Arabidopsis thaliana: one gene and its partner. Changing the gene in region 1 together with any one later gene gives a genetic interaction. Each region holds a gene or a part of one and is shown on either strand. Other genes may lie near its edges.

The links. Genes that interact genetically often act in the same process or in processes that back each other up.
Region 2: of ETR1 (region 1) and EER5, a change in one rescues a mutant of the other (synthetic rescue), as found in Arabidopsis thaliana (one study listed by BioGRID).

The regions. Positions count from the first base shown.
Region 1 is NC_003070.9:24,732,435-24,738,272, forward strand, and holds ETR1 (Signal transduction histidine kinase, hybrid-type, ethylene sensor), read left to right. Parts: upstream 1-1,727; 5' UTR 1,728-1,849; intron 1,850-2,218; 5' UTR 2,219-2,263; coding exon 2,264-3,169; intron 3,170-3,244; coding exon 3,245-3,613; intron 3,614-3,690; coding exon 3,691-3,945; intron 3,946-4,027; coding exon 4,028-4,155; intron 4,156-4,245; coding exon 4,246-4,443; intron 4,444-4,571; coding exon 4,572-4,932; 3' UTR 4,933-5,284; downstream 5,285-5,838. Other genes in the region: AT1G66345 (Pentatricopeptide repeat (PPR) superfamily protein), read left to right, coding at 5,285-5,838. UniProt on the Arabidopsis thaliana protein: Ethylene receptor related to bacterial two-component regulators. Acts as a redundant negative regulator of ethylene signaling.
Region 2 is NC_003071.7:8,465,142-8,470,720, forward strand, and holds EER5 (proteasome family protein), read right to left. Parts: upstream 4,005-5,579; 5' UTR 3,929-4,004; coding exon 3,761-3,928; intron 3,157-3,760; coding exon 3,020-3,156; intron 2,931-3,019; exon of another isoform or gene 2,910-2,930; coding exon of another isoform or gene 2,902-2,909; coding exon 2,808-2,901; intron 2,702-2,807; coding exon 2,612-2,701; intron 2,513-2,611; coding exon 2,447-2,512; intron 2,360-2,446; coding exon 2,270-2,359; intron 2,181-2,269; coding exon 2,124-2,180; intron 2,024-2,123; coding exon 1,962-2,023; intron 1,880-1,961; coding exon 1,792-1,879; intron 1,679-1,791; coding exon 1,602-1,678; intron 1,267-1,601; coding exon 1,192-1,266; intron 1,120-1,191; coding exon 1,014-1,119; intron 915-1,013; coding exon 783-914; 3' UTR 549-782; downstream 1-548. Other genes in the region: AT2G19550 (alpha/beta-Hydrolases superfamily protein), read right to left, coding at 1-390; CDA1 (cytidine deaminase 1), read right to left, coding at 5,457-5,579. UniProt on the Arabidopsis thaliana protein: Involved in the regulation of ethylene response. Probable TREX-2 component required for nuclear RNA export.

The DNA of each region.
Region 1 (5,838 bases):
AGAAAGAAGAGGACAAAGAAGGAGAATTATGGGATTAGAAGTGAAAATTGTAACCACAAGAGTTACTTGTGGACCAGTGTGAGCCAACCATGTCCTAAGTTTTCTTTCTATTTCGATTCTCTGGTCATTATAGTATTGGCCCCACTCTTTCCCTTAATATCAATTTGGTTCAATCCATATATTTTGGTATTGCGATTTTTATTCTTATTTTAAATTGAAGGACCAACACTTATATATAAAGAATATACACCAATCTATTTATTATTAATTAGATTTAATTTGGAAATCCATAAAATTTAATACAGTAAAATCTCTATAAATTAATAATGTTGAGACCACAAAATTCTATTAATTTATAAAGGTATTAATTTATCGATAAATTAATATTTATTAATTTACAGAGAGATTTTCCAAAAGTGGTAATTTTTTTTTTAATTTCTATAAAAATTTAAGATTCATTCCATTATCTAAAATATATTTTTAGAACCAATTACAAATAGAAATAATTATCATGTCTAGAAAACAACAAGAAAAGTTTTTGATAGAGTAAAAATATTAAAATGAAATAAAAAAAAACTTATACAAATTTAAGTAAAAAAAAAACAATATTAAAATTATATTTCTCTGTAATTTATGATATTAATGGGACCCTATGTTTATATAAGATTTTCAAAAAAACTATTATCTTATTAATTTATCGATTTGTATCACTTTTTACAGTGGTTCCAACTCGGGACCGAAAAAATTTATTAATTTATAGAGATTATTAATTTATCGAGTATTAATTTATAGAGGTTTTACTGTATGTATCAAAATTTCGTGTGTTGAGATTTAATACTGATCTTAAAATGAGATTCAGTTCGAGATAGGCTGATTAGAGCCATCATCTTGAAGGTATATATTAAGATTCCATATTGTAAGTTTGAAGTAATCAACACTAGTATATATGAGACATAAACGTTGGTTGAGAATTGAATCGATGAAATTTAGTTTTGTTTGGATTTTGATTTGACTGGTTAAGGTCTTATGTACATTTTTCGGAGGATTGATTTCAAAAAAAACTAATGTAATAATTTTATATAATTGCTTAATATACTTTTGGTTTAGGATCAAATTTCTGGTTAACTCTGATTTAGTTTTGAGGTACTGAAAACCTATATTATGTCAATTTGGAGATATATTACAGTTAACCAGATATAACATTAGTAGTTTGATATATCTCCAAGTTGACATAATATAGCTTTTATTCACATGAACATATTTGTTTGATTCAACTTGTTTTACTTCTCTTACAACTATATAATGTTTTATACAAACGATTATTTACATAAGATTACACTTAAAACTCATAATTTTATATTGGCTAAACATATATATTGCTTAATCTCCAAATGACATTATCATTCTCCTTTTTTGAAATCATACGAATCAATGTAAGGTGAAAGTTAGTGAAAACAATATTTTGCATTTTTTGGTGAAACCATAAAGATAGTATTTGTTGATAAATATGGGGATATTTATCCTATATTATCTGTATTTTTCTTACCATTTTTACTCTATTCCTTTATCTACATTACGTCATTACACTATCATAAGATATTTGAATGAACAAATTCATGCACCCACCAGCTATATTACCCTTTTTTATTAAAAAAAAACATCTGATAATAATAACAAAAAAATTAGAGAAATGACGTCGAAAAAAAAAGTAAGAACGAAGAAGAAGTGTTAAACCCAACCAATTTTGACTTGAAAAAAAGCTTCAACGCTCCCCTTTTCTCCTTCTCCGTCGCTCTCCGCCGCGTCCCAAATCCCCAATTCCTCCTCTTCTCCGATCAATTCTTCCCAAGTAAGCTTCTTCTTCCTCGATTCTCTCCTCAGATTGTTTCGTGACTTCTTTATATATATTCTTCACTTCCACAGTTTTCTTCTGTTGTTGTCGTCGATCTCAAATCATAGAGATTGATTAACCTAATTGGTCTTTATCTAGTGTAATGCATCGTTATTAGGAACTTTAAATTAAGATTTAATCGTTAATTTCATGATTCGGATTCGAATTTTACTGTTCTCGAGACTGAAATATGCAACCTATTTTTTCGTAATCGTTGTGATCGAATTCGATTCTTCAGAATTTATAGCAATTTTGATGCTCATGATCTGTCTACGCTACGTTCTCGTCGTAAATCGAAGTTGATAATGCTATGTGTTTGTTACACAGGTGTGTGTATGTGTGAGAGAGGAACTATAGTGTAAAAAATTCATAATGGAAGTCTGCAATTGTATTGAACCGCAATGGCCAGCGGATGAATTGTTAATGAAATACCAATACATCTCCGATTTCTTCATTGCGATTGCGTATTTTTCGATTCCTCTTGAGTTGATTTACTTTGTGAAGAAATCAGCCGTGTTTCCGTATAGATGGGTACTTGTTCAGTTTGGTGCTTTTATCGTTCTTTGTGGAGCAACTCATCTTATTAACTTATGGACTTTCACTACGCATTCGAGAACCGTGGCGCTTGTGATGACTACCGCGAAGGTGTTAACCGCTGTTGTCTCGTGTGCTACTGCGTTGATGCTTGTTCATATTATTCCTGATCTTTTGAGTGTTAAGACTCGGGAGCTTTTCTTGAAAAATAAAGCTGCTGAGCTCGATAGAGAAATGGGATTGATTCGAACTCAGGAAGAAACCGGAAGGCATGTGAGAATGTTGACTCATGAGATTAGAAGCACTTTAGATAGACATACTATTTTAAAGACTACACTTGTTGAGCTTGGTAGGACATTAGCTTTGGAGGAGTGTGCATTGTGGATGCCTACTAGAACTGGGTTAGAGCTACAGCTTTCTTATACACTTCGTCATCAACATCCCGTGGAGTATACGGTTCCTATTCAATTACCGGTGATTAACCAAGTGTTTGGTACTAGTAGGGCTGTAAAAATATCTCCTAATTCTCCTGTGGCTAGGTTGAGACCTGTTTCTGGGAAATATATGCTAGGGGAGGTGGTCGCTGTGAGGGTTCCGCTTCTCCACCTTTCTAATTTTCAGATTAATGACTGGCCTGAGCTTTCAACAAAGAGATATGCTTTGATGGTTTTGATGCTTCCTTCAGATAGTGCAAGGCAATGGCATGTCCATGAGTTGGAACTCGTTGAAGTCGTCGCTGATCAGGTTTTACATTGCTGAGAATTTCTCTTCTTTGCTATGTTCATGATCTTGTCTATAACTTTTCTTCTCTTATTATAGGTGGCTGTAGCTCTCTCACATGCTGCGATCCTAGAAGAGTCGATGCGAGCTAGGGACCTTCTCATGGAGCAGAATGTTGCTCTTGATCTAGCTAGACGAGAAGCAGAAACAGCAATCCGTGCCCGCAATGATTTCCTAGCGGTTATGAACCATGAAATGCGAACACCGATGCATGCGATTATTGCACTCTCTTCCTTACTCCAAGAAACGGAACTAACCCCTGAACAAAGACTGATGGTGGAAACAATACTTAAAAGTAGTAACCTTTTGGCAACTTTGATGAATGATGTCTTAGATCTTTCAAGGTTAGAAGATGGAAGTCTTCAACTTGAACTTGGGACATTCAATCTTCATACATTATTTAGAGAGGTAACTTTTGAACAGCTCTATGTTTCATAAGTTTATACTATTTGTGTACTTGATTGTCATATTGAATCTTGTTGCAGGTCCTCAATCTGATAAAGCCTATAGCGGTTGTTAAGAAATTACCCATCACACTAAATCTTGCACCAGATTTGCCAGAATTTGTTGTTGGGGATGAGAAACGGCTAATGCAGATAATATTAAATATAGTTGGTAATGCTGTGAAATTCTCCAAACAAGGTAGTATCTCCGTAACCGCTCTTGTCACCAAGTCAGACACACGAGCTGCTGACTTTTTTGTCGTGCCAACTGGGAGTCATTTCTACTTGAGAGTGAAGGTTATTATCTTGTATCTTGGGATCTTATACCATAGCTGAAAGTATTTCTTAGGTCTTAATTTTGATGATTATTCAAATATAGGTAAAAGACTCTGGAGCAGGAATAAATCCTCAAGACATTCCAAAGATTTTCACTAAATTTGCTCAAACACAATCTTTAGCGACGAGAAGCTCGGGTGGTAGTGGGCTTGGCCTCGCCATCTCCAAGAGGTTTGAGCCTTATTAAAAGACGTTTTTTTCCAACTTTTTCTTGTCTTCTGTGTTGTTAAAAGTTTACTCATAAGCGTTTAATATGACAAGGTTTGTGAATCTGATGGAGGGTAACATTTGGATTGAGAGCGATGGTCTTGGAAAAGGATGCACGGCTATCTTTGATGTTAAACTTGGGATCTCAGAACGTTCAAACGAATCTAAACAGTCGGGCATACCGAAAGTTCCAGCCATTCCCCGACATTCAAATTTCACTGGACTTAAGGTTCTTGTCATGGATGAGAACGGGTTAGTATAAGCTTCTCACCTTTCTCTTTGCAAAATCTCTCGCCTTACTTCTTGCAAATGCAGATATTGGCGTTTAGAAAAAACGCAAATTTAATCTTATGAGAAACCGATGATTATTTTGGTTGCAGGGTAAGTAGAATGGTGACGAAGGGACTTCTTGTACACCTTGGGTGCGAAGTGACCACGGTGAGTTCAAACGAGGAGTGTCTCCGAGTTGTGTCCCATGAGCACAAAGTGGTCTTCATGGACGTGTGCATGCCCGGGGTCGAAAACTACCAAATCGCTCTCCGTATTCACGAGAAATTCACAAAACAACGCCACCAACGGCCACTACTTGTGGCACTCAGTGGTAACACTGACAAATCCACAAAAGAGAAATGCATGAGCTTTGGTCTAGACGGTGTGTTGCTCAAACCCGTATCACTAGACAACATAAGAGATGTTCTGTCTGATCTTCTCGAGCCCCGGGTACTGTACGAGGGCATGTAAAGGCGATGGATGCCCCATGCCCCAGAGGAGTAATTCCGCTCCCGCCTTCTTCTCCCGTAAAACATCGGAAGCTGATGTTCTCTGGTTTAATTGTGTACATATCAGAGATTGTCGGAGCGTTTTGGATGATATCTTAAAACAGAAAGGGAATAACAAAATAGAAACTCTAAACCGGTATGTGTCCGTGGCGATTTCGGTTATAGAGGAACAAGATGGTGGTGGTATAATCATACCATTTCAGATTACATGTTTGACTAATGTTGTATCCTTATATATGTAGTTACATTCTTATAAGAATTTGGATCGAGTTATGGATGCTTGTTGCGTGCATGTATGACATTGATGCAGTATTATGGCGTCAGCTTTGCGCCGCTTAGTAGAACAACAACAATGGCGTTACTTAGTTTCTCAATCAACCCGATCTCCAAAACTCATCCATGGCTTCTTCTCCTTCTCCTCCAAAACTAATCCAAATCCAAACAAACAACAACAAATCCTCATCGACTACATCTCCAAATCCCTCCAATCCAACGATACCTGGGAAACTCTCTCCACCAAATTCTCCTCCATAGATCTATCAGATTCCTTAATCGAAACAATCCTTCTCCGATTCAAAAACCCCGAAACCGCCAAACAAGCTTTATCCTTCTTCCATTGGTCATCCCACACTCGAAATCTCCGTCACGGAATCAAATCTTACGCATTGACGATTCATATCCTTGTCAAAGCTCGATTACTAATCGACGCTCGAGCTTTAATTGAATCGTCTCTGTTAAATTCTCCTCCCGATTCGGATTTAGTCGATTCGTTGTTAGATACTTATGAGATCTCATCTTCTACTCCTTTAGTGTTTGATTTGTTAGTTCAATGTTACGCTAAGATTAGGTATTTGGAATTAGGGTTTGA
Region 2 (5,579 bases), on another chromosome or scaffold:
GACATTGCGGATATAATCGGGAAACTTGGAAGCATAGAGAAGAACGACATCACCACCTTTACTATGACCAAGAATGACAGGAACTAGACGGTTCATGATGTTAGAGGAGGACAAGTGTTGAATAACGTAATGCAGATCATCCTCTGCTTCACTGTTGAAGTTACCATAATAGAAAGTTCCTTCACTATCTCCGTTACCAGAGAAATCGAAACGAAAAGAGCTGATTTTTTCTTTCTCCAAAGCTGTAGCCACGTTTTTGAGAATCTTGTTGGTCTTGTCCGATCTAAAGCCATGGCATAAGACCACAACTTCTTTTGATCCAGTTTCGTGAAGCAGACCCACGAGCTTCTCGTTGCGGCGGTTCGGAATCACGATCTTCGTTGGCTTCATCGTCTTTTTGCTTCAGGTGGTAATCGTAGAGAAGAAAACAATGAGGCCCCCTATTGATGTAAAAAGAATAAGGTAATGGAAGTATGGAACTGGAACTCTCGCCAAAGATCAAATTGCATTTTTCTGTGGAGATACGAATGAGACTCGTAATCACTTTTTCTTTTTTTTGCTAAACTAAAACTCGTAATCACTTATTCTTCTCATGTCGATATTCAGTGGAAATTTGGACCTTACTCGTAAGTAGACTCCTCAACCATGGTGAAAACTCCACAGTTTTAAAGTCACATTTCTATTGTAAAAACAGTTTTTGTTTTTTGTTTGAATGAATTTTACACACAATTAGAAAATAAAAAGTGTTTGTTGATACAACAAAAAAAATAACACGTGAAGACTTATGAGCTAACAGGCTTCCCGTTTAGTTTAGGGAAAGGATCTTGCTTGCTTAGAACTACCACTTTGCTCTTGTGAGCTAAATAACCTTTCACAAGGTTTTTGTATATCAATATCGTCATTATACATTCCACCTGCAAATACAGTATTATTTTGACAACTGTGAGTTTATAGAAGATTTCAATTTTAGAAGAAGTCAAAAGCAATGAATGGGATGGTATTGTAGAACAAACCTCGTCCAGATCCATGTCCATATCTAGCCATCTTAGTGCTTTGGCAATCCCTTCAAGCTTCAGCTGGTGAGCTCTCGCTGGATCACTCAGCTTCTGGTTTATATAACTGAAACATTGATAATAATAAGAGTTATAAACTCAAGAATCTTGGATGGTATCATAGCTTGTCTTTGCTTACATTTTCTTCATGAGTCTCTGGTAGACTTGGAGCTCTAGCTTTTCCAAGACAAGATACACACCCGACCTCAAGAACCTGTATAAAAGAAGAGTATTAGATCGAGATATTAAGTTGTTCGGTGATAGAATCAAAATACTCATCATATAGAGACTTGCACAACTCTACTCTCGACCCAACTGCAAATCCTAACCCCTAGACAAATCCAGAACATCCCAACTCTTTCTGCCCCAATTTTCTTTTAACCTGTTAGCTCTCTACCTAAGAACCAGGTGTTACTGACCTGTCAGCAGAGCTATATAATCCACTACAAGCAGCCTATACTAATTCCAATACTCATGCTCTAGAGTATCCACAAGGACTCTATCATTTGGATTAGATGAGAAAAGCAAGATATCGAAAGAAATACATACCGATCTTCATGTTCTTGAAGAGCATGCCGGAGAAGCCTTAGATCACCCTTTCTCAGAGCTTGCACAATCTTTGTGTACTGGACACGTAGAGAAATAGGATTAAGAGAGATATGATATCACTCAGCAGATGCGAAATAAGTTTTGACATAGATTCGAAGAAAATTTTATAGAACAACAGAAAAGTCGTTACCTCATGCAGATTATAATTTCGCAGGAGCTCATCTTTTGGTATAATTCCTAAAGAAAGCTTCACCGGTACCAAATACTTTAATATCATCCTGATTCACATAAGGCCACATTAGCTGATTAAGCAACGCAATGCAAGAGTAAGGTAATCACAGAGTAAAACCAGAATCAGACCTTATATTTCGTTCTCTTTTGGGGTTGCAATTTTGCAAGGCATATGATAGCTTTGTATCAGCCTGCAAGATCCAAAAAAAGAGATTAAATGTTACTATCAATATTTGGATTGACACTACGAAATGAACTGTGATGGTAAGAAAAAATCTCTTAGTGACTCACAGCAGGAAAATTTTCGTTGAAGACTTCTAATCGGCCGGTATAATACATGTATGTAACCTGGTGTTTGCGAAGAATAAACAGAAGATAATAAGTAACCGAATAAGGAGGCCAAAAACTAAAACTGTTTGCAGAGAACTGCGCCAGACCTTATCTCTTCTTGGAAACTCCTCAAAGTCAAATATCCGAGCAGTTTCGATACTTCTTATTACACTTCGACAAAGATTGACGGTTCCAAGCTAAAATACAAAATTGGGGATACCTGTTTAGTACTCCATTTAATGGTTAAATCATAAATATCAAACTGTTGCCAGAAAGCATATCACCTTAAAGTAGGTCTTGAACAATTGGCAAGTCACATATAATGCTCCGACTCGTTTTGGACCTTTCCCCTATAGTTTAAAACTACATAAGGAGCCGGAAAAAATATTGAACACAAATATAAACTAATATTCCTGAAGATATATAGATAGATCAAAGGGAAAACTTACAGCAAGAACTCCAAAAACTTTCATGAGAAGAGACCCAGCTGCTTTTAATTTCTCTGGAGACTTTCCATTAGAAGTTAAATCTTTATCAGCCTGCAATTCCATGTGGAAAAATCATGCTTTCAGAACTGACTCCTCGACACAATGAAACCAGACAAGGTTAAGATTTTGAAAAAGGGATATACAAATGAGATACTACCTTTTCCGCAAGAACTCGAATTTCATAACAAACTACATACAGAGCTTCCAATGCCCAAGCAGATTCCCAATTACGAAACTCCTGAACAAATGCACTGCACATATAGAATCCATCAGATATCAGACATTGTGAACAGACAAAAAAAAAAGCTTATCACCCTGAAATCATATTAGACATCAATAGAGGAGCAGAGAGGAACAAGAAGACTTTACTTGGCAAACTTATCGAAAGCAAGGTATGCTTCGACTAGATTCCCAACTCGGTAACTTTGTAGAGAACGAAACACATGAGCCAGAATCTCGCCATATTCAGAGAATCTATCAGACTGTCTAATCAAACTGCTAGAATCCTGTATCAGTCAAAGAAAAGAAAACTCAAAGGATTCAGCACTTTCACAGCTCTCTACATATAAATAAAAACCCTAAATCTAAAATCCATACTCATAAACTCAAACATAGACATAGAGTGTTCACTACAACAACTCAATAGGAGACACTTTCACGGCCTAAATTCATACTCATTGGTGAAGCAGGAGGACCCAATTGGAAAATCATACTCATTAGTGAAGTAGGAGGATCCTAGATTGACATTGATTGAACCTAAAAGATACACACTTTGCTAACATAAAGATAATGTTCCTAGTGTTTTGAGCCCTAAATTCAGAAATTCATACTCATTGGTGAAGTAGGAGGACCCAATTAGAAAATCATACTCTTAAGGATCTTACATTGAATCGATTTAACCTAAAAGTTACAAACTTTGCTAACATAAAAACCATGCTCCTAGTGTTCACAATTCATACGAGAACCCAATCGGAACATATCAGAAGCATCCTGGATTTGAAATCGAACCTAACTTTACCAATTTACAAGGATCATGCCACTAATCACAGGAACATACTCCAAGCTGCTAATTTGAATCATGGGTCTCGATTTAACAGAGAATATATGTACCTGGAAGACGTTGAGTGCGTCGGCGAGTGAGAGAAGAGGTGGAGAATTGGAAGAGAAAGAGAGGAGACGGCAAAGTGTAGAAGAGTCTTGGTACGAAACGGCGTCGCAGAATCGGTTTAGGTATTCAGTGATTCTCCGGTGAGCTTCACCCATACTAACGTACGCCATTGTCACCTTCTTCGTCTGCGTCTTCCTTATTCTTTGAGAGAGACACGAAATCAAATAAGTCGCCAGGAAAAAAAAGGAAATAACGGAGTTGAGAAAAACGACGGCGTTTGGTAATTAACTAAATTGTTACTACGTACTAGTCTTTTCTGGTATTAGACTTATTGACATATGTTAGTTGGGCCATTTAAGGCCCATATGAAATACAATCATTAAAATGTTTGAAAATTTATTTGTAAAGGATTTGAAAATATCATTAGTGTTGGAAGGATTTTAAAGTTCCTGTAATCGGTGGTACTGATCATGAATTTTTTTTAGAGTTTTTAAGTTCATATAATCGTTTTATAGATCATGATTAATTTGCTTTAAGGTTTTTTAAGTTCATGTAATCGTCCGTAATGTTGACATCTGTATGTAAATATGTCTTCTTAGCCCGATGGTGACGTGAGGAACTTTCTTGAAGGGACATGAAATCAATTTATACCATGCATATAACTCAACAAGTTGCCAAAAACTCGAAGAAATGAATATAATCAACTTGTCAAAAGTAATTAACTGATCAAATAAATCACTTGTTTCCAAATGTGATTTATACTTTCACACTTCTATATATTCCCATTGATATTCCCCTTCTTTCATAGTTAGCAAAGGCCTCTACTACATGTACATGATAAATAAATAAATAAAAATCACGCTAATCATATAATTATCAATATATTTTATTCTTGAACACACAATTAATAGAAATTTTGAGTTGAGAGAAGTCAATCCAGGATTAGTATTTATGTGTAATGCTAAAAGTTGAAGATAACGAGAAACTTGAGAGGTTTTTAAGGTTCCTACTTTATTTTTGGTATGAAGGTTCCTACTAAAATATGCTCTTATATATCATTTTATTTAAAAAGCATTCCATTTGAAACTAATCTAAAAATCTTTAGATTCATTGTTCACCACTCATAGTAAGAGTTGCATGTGGACCATCTTATATTCTCTACTTTCTCATACTTCGTATTTGGAACCTTTATTCCAACAAATTCAATGTGTAAAGCCATCATTACGTTCATTTATTTTTGCCTTTTTGCGTACATAAAAGAAACATCATAACTTGACATGTAAAAAAAAAAATCATTGATTCGATTTGAGACTTTTGAAAACCTTGTCAATTTTATAAAATTTGGCCGATTTGATCTAATCCACATAATCCATCCCTTATAGACGAAATTAAATTTTCAAAGGGGATATTAAAAAAAAATATCAAAAAATGGAAAAATTTAATATCAACAATTTTTTTTTTAACAATACTCCATAAACATAATAATTGTATTAAATTTAATTTTTTAATACAATAAACATTTTTAACAAATTTAAAAATATAAACTTTTCTTATTCTCTATGTGTTATCCATCACATCAATTTCAACACTTTTTTTTTTTCCGTCAATTTCAACACTTTTAAGAATTAAAAAGTCTCATTTTCTTTTTATTCCTTTTTTTTTAAAATTCCTTTATTTTTCGGATAATTAAATGATTCTCTAAGCTTCATAGCAATGAAACACTTTGAATTCGCATTTCGGCGATATAGTCTCTAATAACAACCTCGCCGTGTGCTCTTGCCTCACCACCGCATCTTCTTTCTCCACCAGAACCGCTCCGAC